Linked DNA regions of Yarrowia lipolytica. The protein of the gene in region 2 interacts with the protein of the main gene of each other region in a pairwise test. Links are inferred from orthologs where the notes say so. Each region holds a gene or a part of one and is shown on either strand. Other genes may lie near its edges. The genes, in order: YALI1_E31075g, YALI1_F03735g and YALI1_F16035g.

Evidence for each region.
Region 1: the proteins of YALI1_F03735g (region 2) and YALI1_E31075g interact in binary tests that used the Saccharomyces cerevisiae proteins (3 or more experiments, as listed by UniProt). The link is inferred for Yarrowia lipolytica from reciprocal best matches to the Saccharomyces cerevisiae genes RAD52 and UFD1.
Region 3: the proteins of YALI1_F03735g (region 2) and YALI1_F16035g interact in binary tests that used the Saccharomyces cerevisiae proteins (3 or more experiments, as listed by UniProt). The link is inferred for Yarrowia lipolytica from reciprocal best matches to the Saccharomyces cerevisiae genes RAD52 and CDC48.

Annotation. Positions count from the first base shown.
Region 1 is NC_090774.1:3,105,644-3,110,029, reverse strand, and holds YALI1_E31075g (uncharacterized protein), read right to left. Parts: upstream 2,468-4,386; coding exon 1,343-2,467; downstream 1-1,342. Other genes in the region: YALI1_E31131g (uncharacterized protein), read left to right, coding at 1-900; YALI1_E31050g (uncharacterized protein), read right to left, coding at 3,379-4,386. UniProt on the Saccharomyces cerevisiae protein: Functions at a post-ubiquitation step in the ubiquitin fusion degradation (UFD) pathway. Has a role in the endoplasmic reticulum-associated degradation (ERAD) pathway.
Region 2 is NC_090775.1:371,767-375,999, forward strand, and holds YALI1_F03735g (uncharacterized protein), read left to right. Parts: upstream 1-1,778; coding exon 1,779-3,008; downstream 3,009-4,233. Other genes in the region: YALI1_F03722g (uncharacterized protein), read right to left, coding at 1-467; YALI1_F03765g (uncharacterized protein), read right to left, coding at 3,472-4,233. UniProt on the Saccharomyces cerevisiae protein: Involved in DNA double-strand break (DSB) repair and recombination. Promotes the annealing of complementary single-stranded DNA and by stimulation of the RAD51 recombinase.
Region 3 is NC_090775.1:1,600,534-1,605,813, forward strand, and holds YALI1_F16035g (uncharacterized protein), read right to left. Parts: upstream 3,039-5,280; coding exon 585-3,038; downstream 1-584. Other genes in the region: YALI1_F16045g (uncharacterized protein), read left to right, coding at 4,008-5,045. UniProt on the Saccharomyces cerevisiae protein: ATP-dependent chaperone which probably uses the energy provided by ATP hydrolysis to generate mechanical force to unfold substrate proteins, disassemble protein complexes, and disaggregate protein aggregates.

The DNA.
Region 1 (4,386 bases), on a different chromosome or scaffold from region 2:
CCTTCGCACCCTGAGTTATCTTCTCGAGCCAGTCTTCCCAATGTTCATACTGGGTCTCCTAGACGATGTTCGGAAGGAGACACCACTCGAGAGAAGGCTTGTGTTCCTGATTTGGTGGTCAATGATACAGACACACCCCATGCTCTGCACCACAGTTCTGATGACACTTCAGACTCGGATGACTCGTCTCAGGAGATTGAGATTGTGCCTCGAGCCCGAACACAGCAGCAGCAGCAGCAGCAGCCACACGACTACCTCCAACATCGAGCCGTCGTGTTGCAGCAAAAGTTCATGTCGTGGAGTGCGACTTCTTCGGCCGTGGAGGAGGTCATTGAGTACGTGGAAGAGTTGGCTGATCTCACAGCGCTGCTTGTGGGTGTCAACAAATTCAAGTACGGCTTTCTTTCGCGTCCCATTTACGCTGAATGGGCTGCTTCGGCAGCTCGTGCTTACGACGAGGTTCTGGCTCCCCACGATCCTCTCAAGGCTGACAACGACGATGAAGAACCTGACGAGACACCCCATGAGCTACGAACGGCAGCTGATCATACTCCAGACATTCTGGATCGAGATCATATCCCAAGAGGCCTTCGAAAGCGGGTCTTTTCTGTCGTGGAACACAATGGACAGATCTATGGAGGAGGCGAGCACCAGTACAACATGGTTCCAGGCATGCCTGCAGTTGACCGAACGACTTCTAGACAGTCTCAAAAGTCAAACAAGTCGCACTTATCGCAGCCGGTTGCTCGCAAGACCTCCAGTAATGCCTCCATGCCTCCTCTTACACGACGGCAGTCTATTCGGTCTGTGGTTGGAGCTGTCAATGACAGTCCGGAGCCCGAGAGTAAGTACTTGACATTGAGACGGCGAATGGGACGCAAGATTAACAAGAAGCATTAGCATAATTATTTATTTGTTTTGACTATATGAGCATGTAGATGCCATTGTACAAGTAGCATGCCTGGGTTGTGGAGAGCAAGCCCACGAAGATGACCCAAGTGACAAGATGATAGTGAAAAAAATCTACTGTAGTGCTTCTCGTCCACAATTTGAAGCGATACATACGCATACTTACTGTAGTACCCCCAGTACATCGTATTTATTGTACAGTATTACGTATGTACGATACACTCAGCCTTCAAGGCGTTTCAGTTTCGTAGTTTATATATTTACATTTTTTAAATCAAGTATATATTATTTACAATCTACATGTACAAGTATGAGTATTACCATTTACTTCTCCTATTTTACTCATTCAATATAATAACTTGGGTTGGTTGCCCAACACATATAAATACAGATATATAAGTCTGCCTCTAATCCACAGCCGTCTTGGCCATGGTTAATCAATGACCACCATTTCGGGACTGGTGGGCTTCTTGGGGGTTCCTCCCGCAGCTCCAGCCGACGAGTTGCGCTCCTTGCGTTTTCGACTTTCTCGCAGACTCTGGCCTGTGCCCGAAAAGTGGGGCTGTTGCTGCTGCTCCTCGGTCTGTGTCTCTTCGTCTTCAGAAGGCTTGACAGGCACTAGGGGGAAACCAAAGAATAGCTGCCCAAAAGGGAGACGTAAAGGCTGGGGGTTCGCGTCTGTGTCTGTTGATCCCAGACCCACGAGCTCCTTGAAGTGCTCGTCGAGGGAGGCCTCTTCTTCAGGCTTGACGGCTTTTCCAGACAGCTTCTGGCCGCCACCGGAAAAGGTGTTTTTAGAAGCAGACTTAATGGTCTGTTGGGCGAGCTTCGAATAACCAATAGACTGGGCCATGGTTCCCGCGGCTGCCATTGGTGCAGGAGTAGAAGATCCACTGGTACCAGGTGTCTTGATGGCTCTTCCGTAATTGGAGTCACTCTGGGTGGAGGGATCCACGTAGCCCACCGGAGGCGCAAAGTCAACCTCAATGTCCGTCTCCACACAGCACACCGAGTGCTTGTCCTCCAGGTCGGGCTTGACCTCCAGCACCTTCATTCCATATGTCTTGTCGTTGTAGCTGAACTTGAACACGTCTCCGACTGTGAGGGTCGAGAAGTTCTGGAATGATCTCTCCAGCACTGCTCGGGGGTCGGAAATGTCCAGAAAATCAACGCTCTGGGGTTCAAACTTGACAAACTTACCCAGTGGCAAATCACAAGACGAAATTTCCAGCAGAGATCCAGGACCCACATCCAGAGTCTCAATGATCCATTGGGGCAAGTAGACGCGGCCCTCCTCGGCAATGAACTCCAAAACGCCACCGTACGTCACATTGTCGTTCTCCTCGCTTTTGAGCTGGAACAACATCGGGTACGAAATGTGCAGCATACTGAGCTTGGAAAGTGCCGAGGGAGGCAAAAAGATCTTGCCACCGTAGTTGGCAGACTCTCGGTCCTTACCGGGCATCATGGCGATGGGGTAACATCGGTAGTAGTCCTGAAACTTCTGGGTTCGGTTTCGGAAAGGCGTGGCGCCCCATTGTGCAGTTCCTCCAAACATGATGTGTGTTATCAAAAAGAAGGGTCCGATGGTGAGAGCTATGATCCAGAGTTTGGGGCTGCATATGACGTAGAGGTGTGCATACCACAAGTAAAATAAGAAAGTGGGTAAAGTGGCAAAATAACGGGCTGAAGACTCAAAATCAGAGAACCAATTAATCTGTGTATGTGGCGAAAAATCAAGTTACATCAAGTTACACTCCCGGCACCACTCCGTTAGGCAAAAAAAAGAGAGCTGGGAGGTTCGAACTCACGCCTCTTTCGACACTAGAACCTGAAGCTAGCGCCTTAGACCACTCGGCCAAACTCCCAAACAAGCTTAAATTAAACCTTATTTCCGTGGGGCATTTTCCCTAGAATAAAATGAATCATGAAAAATGAATCATTAGAATTAAAAAAAAAATTAGGAAAAAAATAATCTCACCCTCATCTAGAATGAAAAAAAAGCGCTGTCTTTCCTTAGTTCAAAATAATATAAAGAAAAACTGCAAGTTGGAGAAGTTAAAAATGGACGTTTAGAGGTTACGTAAGTGAGGTATGTACTATTTGTGCAGTATGGCTAATCGAAGCTGAGCCTTGCCAGCTTCCCGTTTAATACTCTCTATCCACCAATATTTCCCGTTGAGGTCCTCAATGATTTGTTGCGTGCGAGCATGTGAACCGTGAGCAACTGCGAAGACACTGATGAACACAGCTCAAATTCATCAATTTTTAGTCGCGCTGTAACGCCTTCGTATCCCCATCAGTGACTCACTCGTAATCCACCCCTTCAATTAGTATTATACTCAATAAATAACATATATACGGGTCTCCTTCAGACATCATCCTATCGTACACATCATCTTCGTCGTCGTCATAGTCGACGACATTTCTTATTCGTCACTCTTTTCGGCCCCTGTCTCTCGTCATCGTCTAGATAAATCCAAAATCCTCACCCTGTAACTGACTGGGTCGCATGTACTGAATGACTCCTCCAACAGTCTCATCAGCAACACCAATTGTCAACTGCTGGTACTCGCCCAGCGAACACGACTGAGTGAATCTGACGCCGGCGGTGCCTCCAAAGAACTCGATCGTCTGTCTGGACGTACATTCCGACCACGTATCGATAACAGTCACGTAATCGACCGGCTCGGCAATAGCAAGATATCTTCCGGAAGCATCAAAATCCACGGACCGAATAGCTGCCTGCAACTTTCCCGAAACGGCGCCGATGCATTGGTTGGACGCTCCTCGGATGTCGTACAGACGGCAAGTTCCGTCCTGGTTGCCTGTAGCCACTGTTTTGCCATCGGGAGACCAGGCACATGCAAATCCGAAGTCCGTGTGACCCTGCAATGACATTTGCAGTTTACCCGATCGCGAGTCGTAGACGTGCGACTCCTGCGAGTCACAAGCCATGACGCAGACATTTTCCGAGCCTGGGAGAAAGGCCGTAGCATTAGCAGCATAGTTGAGTGTAATGGAGTCTTTTGCCTTAAGAGTGTTCAGGTCCAGAGTCCGAAGAACGTTGTCGTTGCCTGATATCAGGGCTGAAGAGGACAACAAGGAGATGTAGTTGACCTGTAGTTCGTTACCAGACGATATCATGCCCGAAGAGAGAAACGATTTCTTTTCTGACGACGACGTTTCAGCCAACGGTTTCACCACAAACACGCCCTTTGTGCTTCCCAGCATAACCACGTTCCTGTTAGCTGCTAAGGCGGACACTCTCAATTGCTGGAGAGATGGGTCACACATTTCAGGTGATATTGCGACCGTCTGTTCGCCCGTTTCTGGATTGAGCATATCCACCTGGAAGTCATCCATATGATTGGCATTGTAGAAAACCTGCGTGGCTGAAACGGGATACATCAGGTTTCTCAGCTGGAAATGGAAAAGATGGGGTTTGGGGTTAGTGAAGCACCGCTGGAACGCCAT
Region 2 (4,233 bases):
AGCATAGGCTGGGTCAACGGGGTAGCTCGGGTGGTGAAGGCCGAGTTCTCTGTCGACATGGCCTTGGTGTAGTAACCGAAGAACATGGATGCTGACAGCATGTATGCTGCGAAGGTGACGACAAACGTGGTTGAGAAGATACGATCACAGATCTCAGCAGCCAGTGACAGGTACGGCAGCTCCCGTATGTGCAGGTCGGCCTTTCTCATGATGACGACCGGCAACAGACCCAGTAGTAGCCAAGAGGCTCGTAGAGGTAACAGGCACCACCACCATGAGGAGTCATCTGACGACGCCAACACCCGTCGTAGCACCTCAATCACAATTCCAATCAGATAGCAAAGCGTGAACAGCAGCCGATACATGTTGCCAAATCTGTATTTCATCACCAGCGTCATGAGACTGTGGTATGGGATGGGTTCCGACCGGGCACTAGGCACCGGCATCATTCGCGATACGCTGACCATGTGGTGTGTGTATTGTGAGTTGTGTGTGTGAGTATGTGTCGGTAATCGTTTCTTCTAGTTTGGATGATGCAGATTCGTTAGTAGTAGCGGTGGTTGCGGCGGTTATGTGGTTGTTTTGGTTCACTTCTTGATCTCGCAAGCTTCCAGAATCTTTTTCAGAGGCTATCCAAACATGCAGAAACAACAATGCAGAAAGCTTGAGTAACAATCAGTGGATGGAGACAGGTTAGAGGAGAATACTTGGTGGGCGGGAGGGGGAGGGAGTGGGAAGGTGAATGGAGTAATTGCAGTTGATTTATATTGGTCGGTTGATTCATTGTCTTATTAGTTTTCTCGGCGACCCTGAAACTGCCACCTCCCACAATTTATTTATATATAGTTTCGGCAACCTCTCACACGTTATTTACAGTACTTGTATATTCAGACTACCAACTAAATCACAACTAATATCCCAACAGCGCTTACTTATCCCTTGCCCCCTCCAACGCCGCCAACTCCACTTATTGACGCTGAAGAGATACATTTTTTGCTTTATATGAAACATCGCTCCTTTATCTATCCAATTATATCCTTCTTTTTGTTACACCATTTCGGGAAGATCGAAATAGCTACCCCTAGCTGACTTCTTCTCTCAACAAATTTACATCTAAAGCTAAGTAACTAAAGTTGGTGACTAAGAAGTGGAAGTCCTTATATAGGCAAGTAGGTGCTGTACGTAAGCAGATTCTTCACTGGTGATGTTACCGCATTGTGAAGAGCAATATCTACGTCTCCCGGTCACGTGCCATGTTGTAGGGGCAATCTACGCCCGCCGCGTTCTCACAGCAAGCTTGAATTTGTAATCGAGAGAGCGTTTCGCGTGTGGACGTGTTGACACTAAAACTGTAAAATTCAAGACTGAACCAGGAACACCTCAAGAGTATTATTTAGAAGATTATAAGGGCGGTGACAAAGCTGAAGCAATGCTAATGCTCATTATTCATGTCTAACTTGCTCTTGTTTTCTCCTCACCCACCATCTTCACGCCCTCCGTACCATATCTTGCTCTCCTCTAAGACTGCATTTTTAGCTGCTTACTCTGATCATAACATTGCAGGTATTTTTCCTGCATCGACATAGACGCGTCACACCAGAGAAGTTCACCTGCAAGGATACCTGCTTTTTCGTTGTAAGAAAAAAGTGCCTGACAAAAACTACTTCCTCAGTGACAAGCATCTGATCGTAACGAAACGACTTCGTTTCCGCCGGTACCACAACACTAACCACCTTGTTTCCTAATTGCATCAAAAAACGCCACCCGCTCTACTAGCAATGCCACAGTTCGGAGACCACTACGCGCTGCCTGATCCACCCAAAGCCATCACCACGGGCTCTGGGGGCGCCCCCAACATTCCTTACTCGCGCAGCGAGGAGCGACAGGTGTCTGATCTGCTCAAACACAACCTGGGCCCCGAATTTGTCTCCAAACGGCCCAGTCCGGGAGGTCGAAGCGTGCACTACTTGGAGGGCTGGAAGGTGTTCAATCTGGCCAACGAGATCTTCGGCTTCAACGGTTGGCGGTCGCAGATCATCAAGCTGGAGGTCGACTACTGCGACCAGAACCCCGACACAAAGCGATGGGACGTGGGCGTCTATGCTATTGTTCGTGTCCATCTCAAGGACGGCACCTATCGGGAAGACACGGGGTCCGGCAATGTCGAGAACTGCCCCAAGCGAGACATGGCGCTCAACAAGTCGCGCAAGGAGGCTGTGACGGATGCATTTAAGCGAGCCATGCGTCAGTTTGGCCCCTCTCTGGGCAACTGTCTGTACGACTCGGAATACCTGAGCAAGCTCAAGACGGTGCGATCTGCCAAGTACACGTTTGATGAGAATAATCTGATTCGAAAGCCAGAATTTGTCATCAAGCGTGATATCAAGCAGGAGCAGGCCACTGCTGCCAACATTACTGCATCTACATCCACATCCACCACCTCGCATAATCAGGATCCTCCTGCTCCAGCCCCTGCCCCTGCCCCTCCTGCGCCTTCCGTCAGCCTCCACGGTCATTCAAACACATCCAGCAACCGCAGCAAGGCCGTGTCCATAGAGGCCATGTGCGAGGGCATCGACTACTCATTTGACGACGACGATCTCGACCTCGACTCCCTAGTGCCCCAGCTCAAGGCCGGACGCAACCCTTCGCCCTCCATCTCCGCTGAGGACTTTGACGAAGACCTGCCCATTTCGGCTGAGGCAATGGAGGAGGACGGATCGCCTATCCCCGTGGGCTTCTTCAAGGCCAGCGTTGCGGCAGATATCAACAAGGGCAGTCCCATTTCACAGAATGCCGCGTTTGACATCAACATCCAAAGTCCTTCCATTAAGCGCACCTTGGAGCATAATAGGAGTGTGCCTATTGCCAAACCACGTCCTCCCATGCACCCCAAGTCCACCAACATTCCCCCCAGCCCATTGTCCAAGCCGTTAGTGAATCCTGTGAAGCCCGAGTTTACCACCCCTGTTGCCAAAAAGCACAAAATTAACGAAAATGATGAATAGAAAACGAGGGATGGACAGATGGAGGGTGTATATTAGCTTCTATCAATTTGCATATGAATGGTGTACAGTCAGAGTAGCAAGTGAATTTCAAGTGTGCTGTATGTAGTCGTCCTGTACCGCTGTAGGCGACTGGACCAATAGGGATGGTGTTGTTCTGATGTCCAGAGCTACAGTAAGCGTCGTAGTTAGTTTTATTGGCCTCCAATTAATGTGTCGCGTTTTACTGTACAGATACTGGTGACTGTACTTGGCCTTCCAGTGTGCTGTGATTTACTTGCTCATTGTTTTGTTGTCATTGTCACCATCCGTTGTATTAATTTACCAGTGTTGTGGCAAGGCACTATCAACTATTTCACCTAATAATAACCCATCCATAATCTATAATCGGAGAGTCACGTCGTTCATCCAGTCTCTCTCCACTATAATTTTGTTACGTAACATTTTTGTGATGCACATTAGTCTCTTAGTCGTCGTAGTACTCGTCGTCAGACTCCTCCACGAGCTGCTCAAAGTTGACCTTGTACCGGAGCAGAGCGCCGATACCACCAAAGCCCTGGACGAACTGGGCACCCTCGGAGGACCGGTCTGTGACAAACTCCAGCTGGGCGCCAAAGTCCTTGTAGTGCTCGGCTAGCCACTCGAGCAGAGGAATCTCGTCGACCACCTCCAGCTCGTTACCCTCCTTGTCGATCAGGTATTCCTCGGTGGGAGTTCCCTTCTTGATGTGCACAATGGTCTCCTCGCCATCGTTGTTCTTGAGAGTCATTCGCTGGATGTCAAGGTTCTCGTAGACAATGACAGTCTCGCAGGCTCCGAGATCCAGGGCCTTGAGAGTCTCGTCGTAGCCGTAACAGAACTTTCCAGAGTCCATGGAGATCTCGTCGAAGTACTGGGTCAGCAGCTTCTTCTCCTGAACGAACTTGACGTTGGACAGAGTCTCGGCAGACAGCTCGATGGCCTGGTTGAAGCCGTTCTCTCCTCCGTACGACACATCGACAGTCTTGATGACCTTAGCGTGCAGACGGTTGTCAAAGAGATCAGAGCCGTTCAGCTCGGTCTTGAAGTCGGCAGAACCGGCCAGAATCAGACCGTTGACGTTGACCTTGTCGTTTGTGATGAAGTTCTGGACAGCCACCTCGGCCACCTTTCGCACGTAGTTGTGTCGCTTTTCCTCTCGCAGTCGGGAGAATCGCAGCGCGGACTGACCACCACGACCATGCTTCTT
Region 3 (5,280 bases), about 1.2 Mb from region 2:
GAAATGTCTTGTTTTGTCTTGTTTTTTTGTTTTTATATCGGTTGTCCAGCTCAGATCAAATGTTGTGATCCCCAAACCTTATCATATTCACGTGCAGCTCCACCGAAAATTCAATCAGGTGGCAAATGGCTAAATCGGCCGCTAAATCTGGGGTCAAATCGCCACTGAAACGTGGCATAAACGGCTTACGTAATCGCGAAACTGACCATAAGAAGATAATAACGGCGACAAAAAAGTCACATGAACAAAAATGGAAAAAAAGGTCCTATTGAGGAACAAGTACAGTACGAGTACAATACTGCATGTACTATACTGAAGCTAAGTAATTGTCTCACAATAAGTGTAAACTCCCAAGTGCATTACTTGGCTTTGGTTGCAACCACCAATACTCTAAACGTGTTTAATTAGTAATATTCGTGTAAGCGTACATTCATTTCAAAGGTTATTCTTTCACAGCAAAGTTATAATTAAATGAATGTATATGCAGAAAAAAAAAAAATCTAGGTACAAGTACAACCACTACATCCTATTATATATACATCCTAATATTATCATGTCATTGCTATATGCTCAAACTCATACGTCTAGTTGTACAGGTCATCCTCCTGGTCAGCACCAAAAGCAGTGCCGGCACCAGCGTCGGCGGCGGCAGCCTCACCAGCAGCGTCCTCGCTGAACCGGAAACCAATGTTTCCTCGCGACGACTGGATCTGCTGGGCATAGGCCTCGTATCGACGCAGCTCACTGTCGCTGACAGATCGCTTGGCGGTCTTCATGGCCTCCTCAAAGTGGGCCCGGGTGATGTAAGGAACAGGGTCTTCCATCTCCACGTCCTCGTTGCCGGCAGCCTCAGCCTCCCGCTGGGCGGTGATGGCAGCCTCAATGGAGTCCTTGATGGCAAACTTGGCAGATCGCTGCACAATGTACGACAGATCGGCACCAGTGAAGCCATGGGTAGACTTGGCAAGCTCCTGCAGAGACAGACCGGGCTCGAGAGGGGTCTTTCGCAGCTGCGCCTTGAGAATGGACAGTCGGCCGGCCTCGTCGGGCAGAGGCACATAGATGAGCTGGTCCAGTCGGCCGGGTCGCAGCAGAGCAGGATCAATCTGGTCGGGCCGGTTGGTAGCTCCAATGACGAACACGTTCTTCTTGGCGTTCATACCGTCCATCTCGGTCAGCAGCTGGTTGACAACTCGGTCGGAAGCTCCACCGGCATCGCCAACAGAGCCACCTCGGGCCTTGGCAATGGAATCCAACTCATCGAGGAAGACAACACAAGGAGCGGCAGCTCGGGCCTTGTCGAAAATGTCTCGGATGTTGGACTCTGACTCTCCGAACCACATGGACAGCAGCTCGGGACCCTTGACGGAGATGAAGTTTGCAGACACCTCGGTGGCAACGGCCTTGGCAAGCAGAGTCTTACCGGTACCGGGGGGACCATAGAACAACACACCCTTGGAGGGAGACAGGCCAAACTTGGTGTACATCTCGGGGTGCAGAACGGGGTACTCGACGGTCTCCTTGAGCTCCTGCTTGATGCCGTCGAGACCTCCAATGTCCTCCCAGGTGACGTTGACGGACTGAACAACGGTCTCTCGGAGAGCAGAGGGGTTCGAGTTGCCGAGTGCGAATCGGAAGTTCTCCATGGTGACTCCAAGGGAGTCGAGCACCTCGGCGTCAATGGTCTCCTCTTCCAGATCAATCAGATCCATCTTCTCTCGGATCTGCTGCATGGCTGCCTCGGAACACAGAGAGGCAATATCGGAACCGACGTAACCGTGAGTCTCGGCGGCAATGGTCTCGAGATCAACGTCGTCGCCAAGCTTCATGTTCTTGGTGTGGATTCGCAGAATCTCAAGTCGACCGGTGGGGTCGGGAATACCAATGTCGACCTCTCGGTCGAATCGGCCGAATCGACGCAGAGCAGGGTCGATGGAGTTGGGCCGGTTGGTGGCGGCAATGACGACAATGTTGGCTCGGGCCTTCATTCCGTCCATGAGAGTCAGCAGCTGGGAAACCACTCGTCGCTCAACCTCACCGTTGGTCTTGTCTCGCTTGGGGGCGATAGAATCAATCTCATCAATGAAGATGATGGCAGGAGAGTTCTTCTCGGCCTCCTCGAAGGCCTTTCGCAGGTTGGACTCGGACTCACCGGCCATCTTGGACATGATCTCGGGACCGTTGATCAGGAAGAAGAAGGCTCCGGTCTCGTTGGCCACGGCTCGAGCCATCAGGGTCTTACCAGTACCGGGGGGACCGTACATGAGAATACCCTTGGGGGGCTTGATACCAATAGACTTGAACAGCTGGGGGTGCCGCAGAGGCAGCTCGACTAGCTCTCGGATCTGGGCCATCTGCTTTCGCACGCCTCCAATATCGTCGTAGCCGACCTCGTTGAGGTTGCCCTCCTCGTCCTCTCGCTCAATGGGATCGCCCTCGCAGTGGATGACGGTATCCTGGGCGACAATGGCGTACTCCGGGGGGTCGACGTCGACAACCTTGAACTCGACTTGTCGCATACCTCCTCGCACGGTGAACAGATCGCCCTTTCGCACGGGTCGGTAAGCCTCGACAAAGTAGGGCTTGAGGAAGACGTCGAACAGCGAGCCGGTCAGACCCTCAATGGTGTCGGAGATGGGCAGACACGAAATTCGGGTGGCGTACTTGATGTCGGGGCAGGGGTGGACCGAAACCACGTCTCCGAGCCGGACTCGCAGGTTGCCTCGGACGCATCGGTTGATTCGGCACACGCCGTCCTCGAGTTCCTCGTCGGCCAGCACAATGAGCACCGTGTCCTTTCGCTTCTTGCCCTTGACCAGCACTGTGTCGCCCCGGAACAGCTGGAGCAGATCCATGGTTGCTGGCGACATGCAGATGATGGAGTTGTCATCGTTGGTGGCATCGTCCACGACAAGAGCTATGTTAGTATGATTGATTGCTTGCTGGCTTGCTTGCGGTTTTCTCTGCTGGGGTCTCATGTTTCTGCGGGCAGACCACCACATAACCCACGTTGCCGCGCCACCCGAAATACTCACCATTGTCCTTCTTTTTCTTTCGCAGAATGGCGGTGGCCAGAGAGTCGTCGGCGTTCTCGGCAGCACCGGAATTGTCGATCAATCGCTTCGATTCTTCGGTATTGTCAGTCATGGTGATGTGTACAGTGCAGAGTTAAGACAAGTGCGTTTGCCACAGTTAAAAGTGCGAGTGCCAGGACCTACCAGTTAAGGTTCGGGGTAGACAAGTAGACAAGTGTGAGAGACGGAAGGGAGTAGGAAACACCCACGTAACTGGACCGTGGAGGAATGATCCATGAGAAAGAATATTACATGGCGACACACAGCCTTATATAGATTGGCTCTGTGCAATTTTCCGTCTCTAAAACCCCCAAATCATCCCGACAACGTGGCCTCTACTCAAGACCTTCCAGTACCTTCGTCAGAGCAATTGCCTAATCTACCGTGGTGAACTTTGTCCACCCAGCCTCAACAGATCTCATCCTGCCCAGACGGCCGGGCGTACTGGGAAATGGTGATTATATAAGCTTATAAGAACGGGATGGAAGGTGTCGTGGCGTTTGGGGGGCTCTCCGTCCTCCGATTAGTCAGCAACATGCCTCTCTAGGCCCATGTCTCTTGGGAGACCCTTTCGACCGCCCTCCTCCCCTCCCTCTCGTACTGTCGTCATAGTTGCAGCCGATAAGCCAACTAGGGTTCAAAATGACAGCTCACCATGGAGCTGCTTAATCAGCTTAGTCAGCTGTGGGGGGCGGCGGGGGTCTCGTGGAACATGTGGATTTGGAGGAATATAACCGAGTCCGGATTAGTCACGGTGGTCCAGGGTCATGACCAATTCTCCGACTCCTTGTCAGCTTGCCCAATCCACCTTATCACGTGATCTACAAGTAGCTCCCTGTGCGTACACCATGCATACATTGCCCATCCTACTTATTTACATCCCACCAGTGATCGGACCATTTCAATCGGGCAATTTTCTGATTTTTTCGCCGCATGACTTCTTTCTTTGTGTCCACGTTCAACTGTGGCAAGCTCACCCAGGACACGCAGTACTACCAGCATTTGTCCGCCGAGTTGGCAGGGATTGATGCGCCCCATGTCTTGTTGTTTGGGTATCAGGAGCTGTGTTCGATTCCCGATGGGTGTCTTGGATATGCGGTGGATCCGCTCAATGATCTGATTCAGCAGGTTCTCAAGGCGATCAGGGACCAGCCGTGGCTCGAACGATACGTGGTGGTTGGTCAACACACGTTTGGAGCCATGGGTCTGGTGGCAATAGCGTCGGCAGATGTGCTTGTCACCGACGTCAAGTTGTGCCACGTGGCGTGCGGCATGTTCTGGTCGTCGCTCAAGGGCGCCGTGGGTCTCCGACTCAATGTTGATGGCAATCCCGTTGTGTGTGTGGCTGCGCACCTGGCGGCCAATGAGGGCTTTTTGGAGCAGCGCAACGACGATTTCGCCACCATTGCCAAGGAAATGAAGTTCCTCGACCCACGCACAGGCATCTACGATGACGCCACGGTATTCTTTTTGGGTGATCTCAACTACCGAGCGTCGGAAAACGAGCAGGGACTCGCTGACTACAAGGTGGTAGACGAGCTGTTTTACGCCATGAGGTCGCTCGATGCCTTCTGGGACTTCCAGGAGGCCGAAATCGGATTCAAACCAACCTACAAGTTCCACACCGGAACGTCCGAATACAACACCAAGCGAATTCCGTCCTGGTGCGACCGAGTGCTGTATAGAGGAGCAGTGGTGCCCCGGAAATACGACTCGATCCCCGCCGTCATGTCTTCAGACCACAAGCCCGTGTACTTGTGGGCGTCGGTGAAACTGACCCAATCCACCGCTGTTGAGCAGGGCGATGTTCCTCCTCATATTCTGTCTGCTGCCCACGTTTCCGAACTCTTGCATATCCGAACGTCGATCATGGACTACATTATTGCGCTGGGACTGTTGGGTTTCACCACGAGAATGGGCTGGATTTCCATTGCGGGTTTCTTGTTGTTTGCGTGGGCGTTGTATAGGTAGTGTGAGCGAGTGTGAACGTGACCAACGTGAACTTGGCCAGCGTGAACTTGACCAACGTGAACTTGACCAGCGTGAACTTGAGCGAGCGCGAACCTGCGCCAGACACAACACTGTCTATTTCATCTATTTCATCTGCTCTGCTGTCACAGTTTACTCCACCCCACCCCACCCCAACTACAATAACTACAGGACTATGATTCAGCGACCGGCTGACAAAATATTTTATTTAATCATT